Callithrix jacchus: one gene and its partners. The protein of the gene in region 3 interacts with the protein of the main gene of each other region in a biochemical or structural test. Links are inferred from orthologs where the notes say so. Each region holds a gene or a part of one and is shown on either strand. Other genes may lie near its edges. The genes, in order: HIP1R, HIP1 and CLTB.

What was found.
Region 1: the proteins of CLTB (region 3) and HIP1R form a complex in vitro, tested with the Homo sapiens proteins (2 studies listed by BioGRID). The link is inferred for Callithrix jacchus from reciprocal best matches to the Homo sapiens genes CLTB and HIP1R.
Region 2: the proteins of CLTB (region 3) and HIP1 form a complex in vitro, tested with the Homo sapiens proteins (2 studies listed by BioGRID, with this or other methods). The link is inferred for Callithrix jacchus from reciprocal best matches to the Homo sapiens genes CLTB and HIP1.

Annotation. Positions count from the first base shown.
Region 1 is NC_133510.1:126,013,533-126,017,906, forward strand, and holds the start of HIP1R (huntingtin-interacting protein 1-related protein), read left to right. Parts: upstream 1-1,531; 5' UTR 1,532-1,640; coding exon 1,641-1,733; intron 1,734-4,374. UniProt on the Homo sapiens protein: Component of clathrin-coated pits and vesicles, that may link the endocytic machinery to the actin cytoskeleton. Binds 3-phosphoinositides (via ENTH domain).
Region 2 is NC_133503.1:10,475,815-10,479,459, forward strand, and holds part of HIP1 (huntingtin-interacting protein 1), read right to left. Parts: intron 1,983-3,645; coding exon 1,907-1,982; intron 1,795-1,906; coding exon 1,654-1,794; intron 381-1,653; coding exon 283-380; intron 1-282. UniProt on the Homo sapiens protein: Plays a role in clathrin-mediated endocytosis and trafficking. Involved in regulating AMPA receptor trafficking in the central nervous system in an NMDA-dependent manner. Regulates presynaptic nerve terminal activity.
Region 3 is NC_133503.1:70,816,467-70,820,111, reverse strand, and holds part of CLTB (clathrin light chain B), read right to left. Parts: intron 2,049-3,645; coding exon 1,931-2,048; intron 1,734-1,930; coding exon 1,622-1,733; intron 1-1,621. UniProt on the Homo sapiens protein: Clathrin is the major protein of the polyhedral coat of coated pits and vesicles.

The DNA of each region.
Region 1 (4,374 bases), on a different chromosome or scaffold from region 3:
AACAAATGTTGAGCCTGGTGCCCGGCACAGTAATAGGCTCTATGATTATTTAAAGAGACTGTTGCTAATGGGAAGTCACTGTGGCAGATGTGCTAGACCCAATGGGGCTGCTGCCTGATTGAAAAGGGACCCTGTGTATGCGTGAAGGGTCACATGAGAACCACTTTTGTTCCATGTGGAAATAGGAGTGTGATAAATAGCTGGAGTACAGCAAAGAAGCCCCTTGACTGTGGTCTTTATTTCACCACAGCTATTGACCAAGTTGCAGAGGATTAAAAACCCTTTACATATAAAGGGTTGAGCCCAGGGCCTGTCAAATAATAAGCATTCAATACATATTAGCTATTGTGATTTTATTGTTGTTCTGGTAAAGAAGCTTTTTAGTGGTTGGAATTAGAGAAAACAGGATTAATATTTCCTTTTGGTGGAGTGAGACAGCCTTGGCAATTGTACATTTTGGCGTCAGCTCTAGCTCTTGGGCTGGAGAGTGAGGAATCAGGTTAAAGAAAAGGGTCCCTGATCTCAGACAGGTTACGTCTCACCAGGGAGACAAGGGTCAAGCTTCTGTGGGCATCATTTTCCTTCTTACAGGTAGGTAGGTGATCCGTCCCCCTTCAAAAGCAAGGGATCTTTATGCACGAGTCCACATCTGCATTCTGATAGGAAAGGGAAACAGCAGAAACAAAATACTCATCTGAGAGCTACGCTTAGGAAGGACTCTGGGCTTCTATTTTTTTACTTCTTGTGACCAGTAATTTTAAGGGGAAGCCAATAATAATAATAATGTTTTTTAAAAAACCTCATGCCACCCCCGGCGGCAACTCCTTGGTGTGTACTTTGTCGTTCAGATCCGCTCGCCTTCTGTCCCAGCCTAATTCCGCCTGGCCTCAGCCCCCATTGTCCTTGGAGCTGGCGAGGTGTCCGGTTGCGGAGCCGGCCGCGTCTCTGGAAATGCATCCTGCATCCCTGCGTGGATAACAGCTGCAGCTGTGTCGGAGATGCACAAAGAGGGGAGAATGTCATTGTGTGTCTTTTGACACATACATTAAGACCAAAAAGGAAAAAAAAGTCTATCTGTGCTGCTACCGACCAGAATCATGGAGGCCAGATTTTCTCCAATTAACCAGATCTTGCCCTGGTGTAGACAAGACTTAGTGAGTTCGGGGAAGAGAGGGGAGGGAATTGGCCGGGATCCCTACCGGAGGGAGGGATTCCGCTTCCCCCTGCCCTTCTCTCCGGGTTTAGGGAGGCGATTAGAGGTGGGGAGGGGCTGGGGGCGTTTGGCCTGTGCCCCAATCTGGTGAGTGGTGTGGGGTTGGAGGTGTGCGGGGGGCGGAGCGTGTGCCGGGGTCGCCGCGGGTCGGGGGGTGGGGGCGTGCGGGGGGGAGGGGTGTGTCCCAGGTCGCGGGGGGTGGGGTTGGAGGTGTGCGGGGGAGGGGCGCGCTCTGGAGTTGGGGGCGGGCACGGCGTTTGCGGGCGCATGGGCGGGGCGCGCGGCGGGCGGGGAGAGGCGGGCTCCTCCCCGGCGGGCGGGCCCTGGTGCGGCGCGGCGGCCTCGAGGTGCCTAGGCAGGGGCTGCCGGGCAGTGAGGCGCGGAGTCGCGCGGACGGAGCCAAGCGGGAGCGGTCGGTGGCAGCAGGATGAACAGCATCAAGAACGTGCCGGCGCGGGTGCTGAGCCGCAGGCCGGGTCACAGCCTGGAGGCCGAGCGCGAGCAGTTCGACAAGACCCAGGCGAGCGGGCGGCGGGCGGCGGGCGGCGTCCCTGTTCACTCACGCGCGAACCGCCGGGGCCCGGGAGGCGCCCCGCAGGGGCTGGGGACCGCGCGGGAGCGGGGCCTGGGTCCGCCTGGGCGCTCCGAGAGCTCCGCGGCCGCCCCCCTCCGGCCTCCGCGGCCCGAGCCGCCCGGAGCGCAGGTGAACCGGAAGCCGCGCTCCCCGCTCCCGCCGGGCGCTCGGGCCCAGAGGCGCCGGGGCTGAGGTGGCCGGAGACGGAGATGGGGCCGGGGACGGAGATGGGGCCGGGGACGGGGGTGGGGCCGGGGACCGAGATGGGGCCGGGGACGGGAGTGGGGCCGGGGACCGAGATGGGGCCGGGGACGGAGGTGGGGCCGGGGACGGGAGTGGGACCGGGGTTAGGTGTGTGCGGGCCCAGCGCGCAGGGGGCCGAGGGGACCCGGGGTCCAGGTGCTCCCGGGGCCGGCGCGTTCCGACTGTGGGTCTCCGCCCTTCGGTACGGCTTATTGCCGGCTCCTGCCGCGGTCTCCCACCCCCTGAAACTGATGCCCCCACGGGCAGTTTCCTTAAAGGAAATTCCTTAAACACCCAGCTTCCGTCTCTCGTGAGTGGTTTCCCAGGGCTGCACAGTCTCCTATTATTTGCTGGGTGAAGCTTCTCGTATGTCGCCAGACTTGTTTGCCGGAGCGCTGCCCACGTATAAATAGGTGCACACCCCCTCATTAAACACCGGCGCCCGACAGACAGAAACTTCCTGGGGCTCCCTTCCTGCCCCTCCCACGCCTGCGTCTCTTCCAGATGATGCCTATCCTGGGAAGATTTTAGACATTAAATGAGGGCGCGGGTTTGCCTTTTGTACTTGTGTTTGTGCCGGGGACCCGCGATGGAGACGTTGCTGCGTTTCTGGTTTCCTGTTGCTTTGTATTTGACAAACTCTTGAAATATTCTCAGGCTTGGGGGATGGGCGGTGGAGGGGGGGCATACTTGTTTATTTGCCAAAATAAGTCAACCAAGACTGAAATGGCTGAAAAATTTTACTCCAGAGATAAAGGAAGCCAGAGGACCCCTCCCACCCCTATCTAAAGCAGGTTGGTGACATTTGCATTTGTGGCTATTTGCAAGTTCCGGCCCACTTGTCCTTGCGGAGAGCCCTGACTCCTGTGGTTGCCTTCACATCTAATTAGCAAATGCACTTTACTACAGCTTTCGTTTTGAAATGAGAGAGAACGCAGGAAGACCGTATAGCCTTTGTGCTTGGGATTGACCCTGAAAGCGATAAGTCCTGAGGATATCAAGGCTTTAGAAATGCCAAGTGCTGGAACCCACCTGGCGGCAAATTATCAGTTTATTCTTGTGATCATCATCACCACCATCATCTGGTTCAGCCCCGATAGCCCTTCATTTTAAAGTATGGCATTTAATTTAGAGTCACCAATACATAATTAATTGTGCCAGGAACTTGTAGATCATAGAGAGAAAACTTTAGTTGGCAGACAGATCTGGATGTTCTAAGAAACTGTTTATTGGTCTAAGGCCATATCACCCGGAACGCGCCGAATCTCGTCTGATCTCGGAAGCTAAGCAGGGTCGGGCCTGGTTAGTACTTGGATGGGAGAAACTGTTTATTGACTGAGTTTTAGATTTTTCTCCTGCTCTTGAGGTATAAAGAGGTCTGATTGCTACATGGAGGAGATGGAATGTGAAGGACCAAGTTCATTGATCTTACGCTTAAATAAGAAGCCAAGGGCAACCTCTTGAATGTCAAAGAGAGAATCTGATACAGGACCACACATTTTGGTGGTTTGTTTGGTACACAGAAAGGTGGATTTTTTTTTTTTTTTTTTTAAAGACAGAGTCTTACTCTGTTGCCCAGGCTAGAGTGCAGTGTTATGATCTCGGCTCACTGCAACCTCTGCCTCCTGGGTTCAAGTAATTCTCCTGCCTCAGCCACCTGAATGGCTGGAACTACAAAGCGTGTGCCACCACACCTGGCTAATTTTTGTGTGTAGTTTTTTGATTTTTGGAGATGGAGTCTCGCTCTGTTACCAGGCTGGAGGGCAGTGGCGTGATCTTGGTTCACTGAAACTTCTGCCTCCTGGATTCAATCGATTCTCCTGCCTCAGTCTCCCAAGCAGCTGGGACTACAGGCACACGCCACCACGGCCAGCTAATTTTTGTATTTTTAGTAGAGATGTTATTTCACCATGGTGGCCAGGCTGGTCTTGAACTCCTGACCTCAGGCGATCCACCTGCCTCACCTCTGCCAGAGTGTTGGGATTACAGGCATGAGCCACGGTGCCTGGCCAAAGGTGGATTGTTTTATTTTATTTTGCTCTGGGTTTTTCTCAAAGGCTTAGAGGGTCATATACAATGAATAACTTTGTAATGAGTGAATCTCACGGGACTCACCTATTCCAGGTCCCTTTTCTGGAAAGATGGCGTTTGTGTTCATTGTCTGGGTTTGCTCATCTTCACAGTGACTTACTGAGGAATATAAGAATGAGGTTTTGTACGTGGTTAATATTTAATTAGATCATTCCCAGAAATAATCGAGTGAGCCAGCAGCCAGGCCCCTGGTGGAAAAGGACCTGGAGAGCTGAGGTTGCTACTTCCGTGTCTCCTTCGGGACAGAAAATAG
Region 2 (3,645 bases), about 60 Mb from region 3:
CTGGGATTACAGGTGTATACCCCCACCCAGCTAATTGTTTTACTTTTATTTAATAGCGATGGGATCTTGCTATGTTGCCCAGGCTGGTCTTGAACTCCTGGCCTCAAGCAATCCTCCTGCCTCATCCTCCCAAAATGTTGAGATTATAGGCATGAGCCACAGCACCCGACCCTTCAAGATGTTCTTTGTCTAAGTAGCCCCTCCTCTTTGGTTACTGTTTTGAGGCAGACCATGGCTGAACTTAGCTCCTATACCATCTGCTTGAAGCCAGCTTGGACTCACTTCTCGTCCTTGTTCACGCCGTTTTGACTGTTGAAATTGAAGGGGTCGCTGCTGAATGAGCTGCCAAAGATGTCATCAAACTTGTTGTCAAATAAATTCTGTGGTTGACCAAAACGGAGCGAGAGTAAGTCAGAGAGCCGGAGAACTGTGTGTGGGTCAGCTGAGCGACATGGGAGGATGGCCCTGTTCTGTTTGGTTCAGACCGATTTGTTTGTTTGTTTGTTTGTTTTTTGAGACGGAGTTTTGCTCTTGTTACCCAGGCTGGAGTGCAATGGCTCATTCTCAGCTCACCGCAACCTCTGCCTCCTGGGTTCAAACGATTCTCCTGTCTCAGCCTCCCAAATAGCTGGGATTACAGGCATGCGCCACCATGCCCAGCTAATTTTTTTTGTATTTAGTAGAGACGGGGTTTCACCATGTTGGCCAGGATGGTCTTGATCTCTTGACCTCATGATCCACCCGCCTCGGCCCCCCAAAGTGCTGGGATTACAGGCATGCACCACCACGCCTGGCTAATTTTGTATTTTTAGTAGAGACGGGGTTTCACCATGTTGGCCAGGATGGTCTCGATCTCTTGACCTCGTGATCTACCCGCCTCGGCCTCCCAAAGTGCTGGGATTACAGGCATGCACCACCACGCCTGGCTAATTTTGTATTTTTAGTAGAGACAGGGTTTCTCCATGTTGGTCAGGCTGGTCTTGAACTCCCAACCTCAGGTGATCCACCTGCCTCAGCCTCCCAAAGTGCTGAGAATTACAGGAGTGAGCCACTGCATCTGGCCTATTTTTTTTTTTTTTTTGACAGGTTCTCACTCTACTGCCCAGGCTGGGGTTCAGTGGTACAATCATAGCTCACTGCAGCCTCAAACTCCTGGCTCAGCTTCCTGAGTAGCTGGAAGTAGAGGTATAGACCACCATGCCTGTCTAATTTTGTTATTTTGGGTTTTATTTATTTATTTATTTATTTAGGTCCTGGCTCTTGTCCTCTTGCCTAGGCTGGAGTGCAGTGGCATAATAGCTCACTGCATAGCTGGGGCCACAGGTATGTGCCACCACGTCTGGCTAATTTATTTTTGTAAAGATGGGGTCTTCCTATGTTGCCCAGGCTGGTCTTGAACTGGCCTCAGGCAATCTTCCCACCTTGGCCTAGCAAAGTGCTGGGATTATAGCTGTGAGCCGCTGCACCCATCCAGACCCGTTTATGATCCTTCTGGGAGTCACAGGGCAGGATGCTCAGCCAAGGTTGCTACTAGGTGAAGAGAAGGCTGAACCTGGTTAGCGTCAATGGGCTTTGGCCAGGGTCTCCCCCAGCCTCTCCCCTGTACCTGGAGGCAAGAGGAAAGGCCAAGTTCCTCTTCCAATTGGTCCTCACCTGCTGAGAGGCGTCCATGTCCATGAGGTCATCCTTCTCGAGCACTGGCTCGCTGTCGGGGGACGAGGCCTCCGCCGGGATCACCACCACAGGGCTGATGTGCTCTGACAGGGCTGAGGCTCGCAGGAAGTTGGGTGGGTTCTGAAGACGGAGACACATCCTCAAACAGTGCTCACTTGCCAGGCCCTGACAGCCTCTAAGAGGGTACTTGGGGCCTCTGCAGTGCCCAGGGTAGGTAGACAGGCACGCTTACCTCAGGCAGCTGGGGGATCTGAATCAGCCGCTTGAAGTACTGCAGGTTACTGGAGCGGTAGAAGAGATCTTTCAACCTAGGGGTGGAGAAGGGCCTGAGGGCTGCTGGGTGCCTTAAGGGACAGAGCAGCCACCTGGCCTTCCCAAAGGCCCAGGCTGTCAAGGAGATGAACTCCATGGCACTGGGATTCAATTATGATGCTACAGAGAAGGATTAGTTAAAGCTGGTCCTCAGGGACCTGGTGGTAAGGAAAGAGTAGCTCGTGCTACAAATCCTGGAAGTGGAGGTAATCCGAAAGCCGGTTTCTTCATTGCTGTAGATAAATGCTGTTGTTTTGCAGACTTAACTTCCTAGGAGTGCTTGGTTTAGAGTAACATTAATAGAAATTGACTTTCTCTGAGGATAAACCAAGTAACCATAGGAGAAGGGAAGGGAATTTAATCACAGAGGTAGCTCTTCTTTAATTACTTCTCCTTGTTTCTGGACTATTTGTTCTCTCCACAATTACACTGTAAGTTCCCGGGAAGTAGGGACCGAGCTCTGCTGAGCTGTTTGCCCTAGTGCCAGGAACAGGGGAGCCATTCAGTAAACACTTGGAGTGTTTCAGTTGCTTGGTAGTGTGTCCTAACCGTGGGTGGACACGCACATGAAGAAACCAGCATTTTCTCATAGCCCATGCAGCCTCAAATTCCGGGGCTCAAGCGGTCTTCCTGCCTCAGTCTCCCGAGTTGCTAGAACTACAGGGATTCACCACCATGCCTGGCTGGTTTTTAATTTTTTGGTACAAACAGGGCCTTGCTGTGTTGACCAGGCTGGTCTCAAAACTCCTGGCTTCAAGCAACCCTACTGCCTTGGCCTCCCAAAGTGCTGGGATTACAGGCGTGAGCCCCCACACCTGGCAAATCTTTTTCTCATTCTCAAATATCTATTTTGAATCTAAACACTGAAGACCAAGAAAGCTGAGAGTATCCAGATGTATATATTCTTTATCTTTATTACTTTTAAGTATTTTTTGATAGGGTCCTACTCTGTCACCCAGGCTCGAGTATAGTGGCATGATCATGGCTCACTGCCGCCTTGACCTCCTGGGCTCAAGCGATCCTCCCACCTCAGCCTCCCAAGTAGTTGGAACCATCATGCCCAGCTCAGACTTATCTATTCTCAGATAAAAGGGGAACATGGGCCTTAACTCCTTCGGCCTGCAACACAGAATTTTCTCCAGCTTAGCCCAATAAATGAACCCCCCGGGGTCTCCTTGCAGCCTGTCAGATACCAAGACGTAGGCCGGTCTCTGTGACATCACTGCCACTTCCCCTGAATTCAAGGACAGTGAGGTCTCAGACAGATGGCTGTGGCTGTGCGAAACAGCAAGGCTGCTCCCATTTACTCAGGGGAGATGTTTTCATAAGCGAGAAGAAAATGAAAGGAAATGAAATCACCTGACCACACGTCCCCATCTTGCTGGGTTGGAGCCAACAGTAACAGGCTGAGCGCTTTCGCAAGCTACCGGAATTTCACATTCCAGGAAATCAGCCCCAGGGCCTGTCTCCTGGGACTAAAGAAGCCATTTATCTTGGAATGTGTACTCGGCTTCTCAAATGGAACAGAGGCACCAGGAGGTGGGAACCACCACACACTCGTCCTTTGCTCGCTCCCGGGGAAGCGGCCAGAGAAGCTGGAACTTGGCATTTGGGAGCTATGGCCAAGGGTGAGGAAATCAACAGGAAAAACAAGAGGAC
Region 3 (3,645 bases):
CCCTCCCTGACCCATTTCCTTGCTTCTATGGCCTTCGTGCAGAGGGCCCTACTGTATTTGAACTCAGTTGAACATGTGTGTTTTTCTCTCTGCGCCCTTTGAGGACATAAGACTGGGTCTTCCTTATCTCCATCTCCTTAATGCCTACCCCAGAGCCTGGCATGCAGCAGTTTTCTGGACAGAAGGGTAGCTGTCTCCTAGAGCAGGCCTTTCCCTTCCTGGAAGATCTTGGACCCTGAAGAGGGTAGCCTAAAAGGCAGGGAGCACTGGGCAGTATTCAATCTGAGACCATTTCCACAAAGGTGTTCTCTGCTGGGCATCTGCTGTCTTCACCTGCCCAGCATTCATGCCTCTTCTTCCAGGAAGGGCACCCTGACTGTCCTCTGCTGGAACAGGTTGCCCCAGCTTCGGTCCCTGTGGTTTGAGTGGGACTGATCCCTATGCACAACCCAAGGAATGGGACTATCACCCAGACTAGGGCCCCCTGGCTAGTCACTGGGCCTGGCATGGTCCAAGCCAGTGAGGGTCGGGCCGAGGACTTGAGCTGGAGCTCTAGGGCACAAGATGCTATTTTCACTAGGGCTGCCAAGAGAATAGGGCAGAAGCCTGGAGTTGCTGCTGGCCATCTTTCCCTCCACACCAGGGTGCAGGCCCGACAGTGAAGCGCAGCTGGAGGAAAGGACAGCGGGCGCAGTGAGTGAGGGTGGATGGACTTCACTGGAGCCCCTCGCGCCCCAGTGCCCACCATCCTACCCCTGGCCTTTGTAGTTATACAGCCTGTGATTTTTTTTTAATCCTTTAGCCACTCAGGGTGGCATTTCTCCAGCAGTAAAATCCCATTCACAAGTCTCTTCTTCACCCTCAGTGCAGCTTGTGCTGTCTCTGATCCTAACTCTGGCCACAGAGGGCCACACCTCACTGTTGGCTGCTGAGGCCTGGACAGACTTGCTGGCATTCCAGGGCCCTGGGCCCCTTTAGCTGCCTCGCAGACTCAGCTTCCTCTTGAAAACAGGTGAGGCCTCCATGGTGGAGCAGCTCCAGGGGGCCCTGAACTCCACGAGCAAATGAGGAAGCAGCCCTGGGGTTTCCCTTCTTCCCTGCTCCCATCACCAAACCAGCCCCTCCAGACCGTCCCCCATACCACAGTCCCCTCACGTCCCATCAGCTGCCCCCCATATCCCCACAGCACCCTTACATACCCTCTTCCCCCTCACTTCCACACGACCCCTCACATCTCCACAGCCCCCCCATGTCCCCACAGCCCTCTCATGTCCCATCAGCTGCCCCCCTATGTCCCCACGGCCCCCTCACGTCCCCATGGCACCCTTACATCCCCTCTGCCCCCTCACCTCCCCACAGCCCCCTCACATCTCCACAGCCTCCCATGTCCCCACAGCCCCCTCATATCCCATCAGCTGCCCCCCCATGTCCCCACAGCCCCCTCACAACTCCACAGCCTCCTTATGTCCCCACGGCCCCCTCACATCCCCACAGCTGGCTCCCTCATGTCCTCAAGACCCCCTCAAGTCCCCATGGCCCCCTCATGTCCCCACAGCCCCCTCATGTCCCTCTGGCCCCCTCATGTCCCTCTGGCCCCCTCATGTCCCCACAGCCCTCTCACCGGTTGTTGATCTTGTTCTTCTCTACTTGTTCACTCTGGCGCTGGTTCCACTCCTCCAGGTCCTTCTTGGCCTTCTCCCGCCACTCCTGTTCTGTCACCTTAGATGCAGCATCTGGGACCCCACAGGAGAATGAGCGGCTGCTTTCCAGCTGGGATGCACAGGCCTGGCCACCCTGGCTGCTCCTCCCCTGGCCCCTGCCAGGCACCTCAGGGTCGCCCAGGCCCAGTCCCACATTAAGGCATGCAGGGTTCCATGCACTCCCAGGCCTCCCCACACACAGCCCACCCCCACCTCAGGCCTGCCCTCACCCAGCTCTTGCAGCCGTTTCCTCTGCTCTTCTCGCCACTTTCGGATGCTCTCAGGCTCCTGGGTCAGCCTGTCAGCCTGAGCAATGGCTGCGTAGCCGTCAGCAGGACCATTGGCCTCCTAGAACACAAATACGCAGCAGTCTGCCCAGTTGGCACACCCACCCCGCTGTCTCTGCTGCCCCTACTGGGGCCCTGCTCACGTCTGGGTAACTCAGCTTCAAACAACCTCATACCCACTGTCTCCGGTGACTATGCCTCCCTTTGCCTTTGCTGTTCCCTCTGCCAGCAACACTCCTCCACCTGTGTGACTGCGGGCAAGTTACTCACCCTCTCTGTGCCTGATCATTGCCCTCAGCCCAGTCATAGGTTTTGATACCCTCCAAGCAGGAGACTCAAGAAACCGTGTGCTAGCCACTTTCTTTGTCATAAAATGGGCTAAATAACAGTATGCACCCCAAAGGGAGGACATAAGGATGAAAGGAGTTAAAATTATAAAAAGCTTAGAACCCTGCTTGGCATAGTGAGTCCCTTGTTCTACGGTCATTAAAATCACTCTCTATTGTGGTTCTGTTAACTCCTAACACTTAGTCCTCACTTTATCTTTTCTTTTTTTTTTAAATTATTTATTTGTTTTTTTTTTATTTTTTTCTTTTTCTTTTTTTTTAAATTGCATTTTAGGTTTTGGGGTACATGTGAAGAACATGCAAGACTGTTGCATAGGTACACACATGGCAGTGTGATTTGCTGCCTTCCTCCCCTTCACCTATATCTGACATTTCTCCCCATGCTATCTCTCCCCAACTCTCCACCCTGTGTTGTCCCTCCCCTATTCCCCCCAACAGACCCCAGTGTATGATGCTCCCCTCCCTGTGTCCATTGTGTTCTCATTGTTCAACACCCACCCATGAGTGAGAACATGTGGTGTTTGATTTTCTATTCTTGTGTCAGTTTGCTGAGAATGATGGTTTCCAGGTTCATCCATGTCCCTACAAAGGACACGAACTCATCGTTTTTGATGGCTGCATAATATTCCATGGTGTATATGTGCCACATTTTCCCTATCCAATCTATCATCGATGGGCATTTGGGTTGGTTCCAGGTCTTTGCCATGTAAACAGTGCTGCAATGAACATTCGTGTGCATGTGTCCTTATAGTAGAACGATTTATAATCCTTTGGATATATACCCAGTAATGGGATTGCTGGGTCAAATACAATTTCTATTTCTAGGTCCTTTCTTTTTTTTTTCTTTTTTTTGAGACGGAGTCTAGGCTGGGCGTAGTAGCTCACACCTGTAATCCAAGCACTTTGGAGGCCAAGGGGGGGCGGATCACCTGAGGTCGGGAGTTCAAGACCAGCCTAACCAAAATGGTGAAACCCCGTCTTTAAAAAAAAAAAAAAACTAAAAAGAGAGAAAAAAAAAAGAAAGAGATGGAGTCTCACTCTGTTGCCCAGTCTGGAGTGCAATGGCGCAATCTCGGCTCACTGCAACCTCCACCTCCCAGGTTCAAGTGATTCTCCTGCCTCAGCCTCCCAAGTAGCTGGGATTACAGGGGACCATCACGACACCCAGCTCATTTTTTGTATTTTTAGTAGAGATGGGGTTTCACCATGTTGGCCAGGCTGGTCTCAAACTCCTGACCGAAGGTGATCTGCCTGCCCCCACCCCCCGCAAGTGCTGGGATTACAGGCCTGAGCCACTGCACCCGGCCTAAG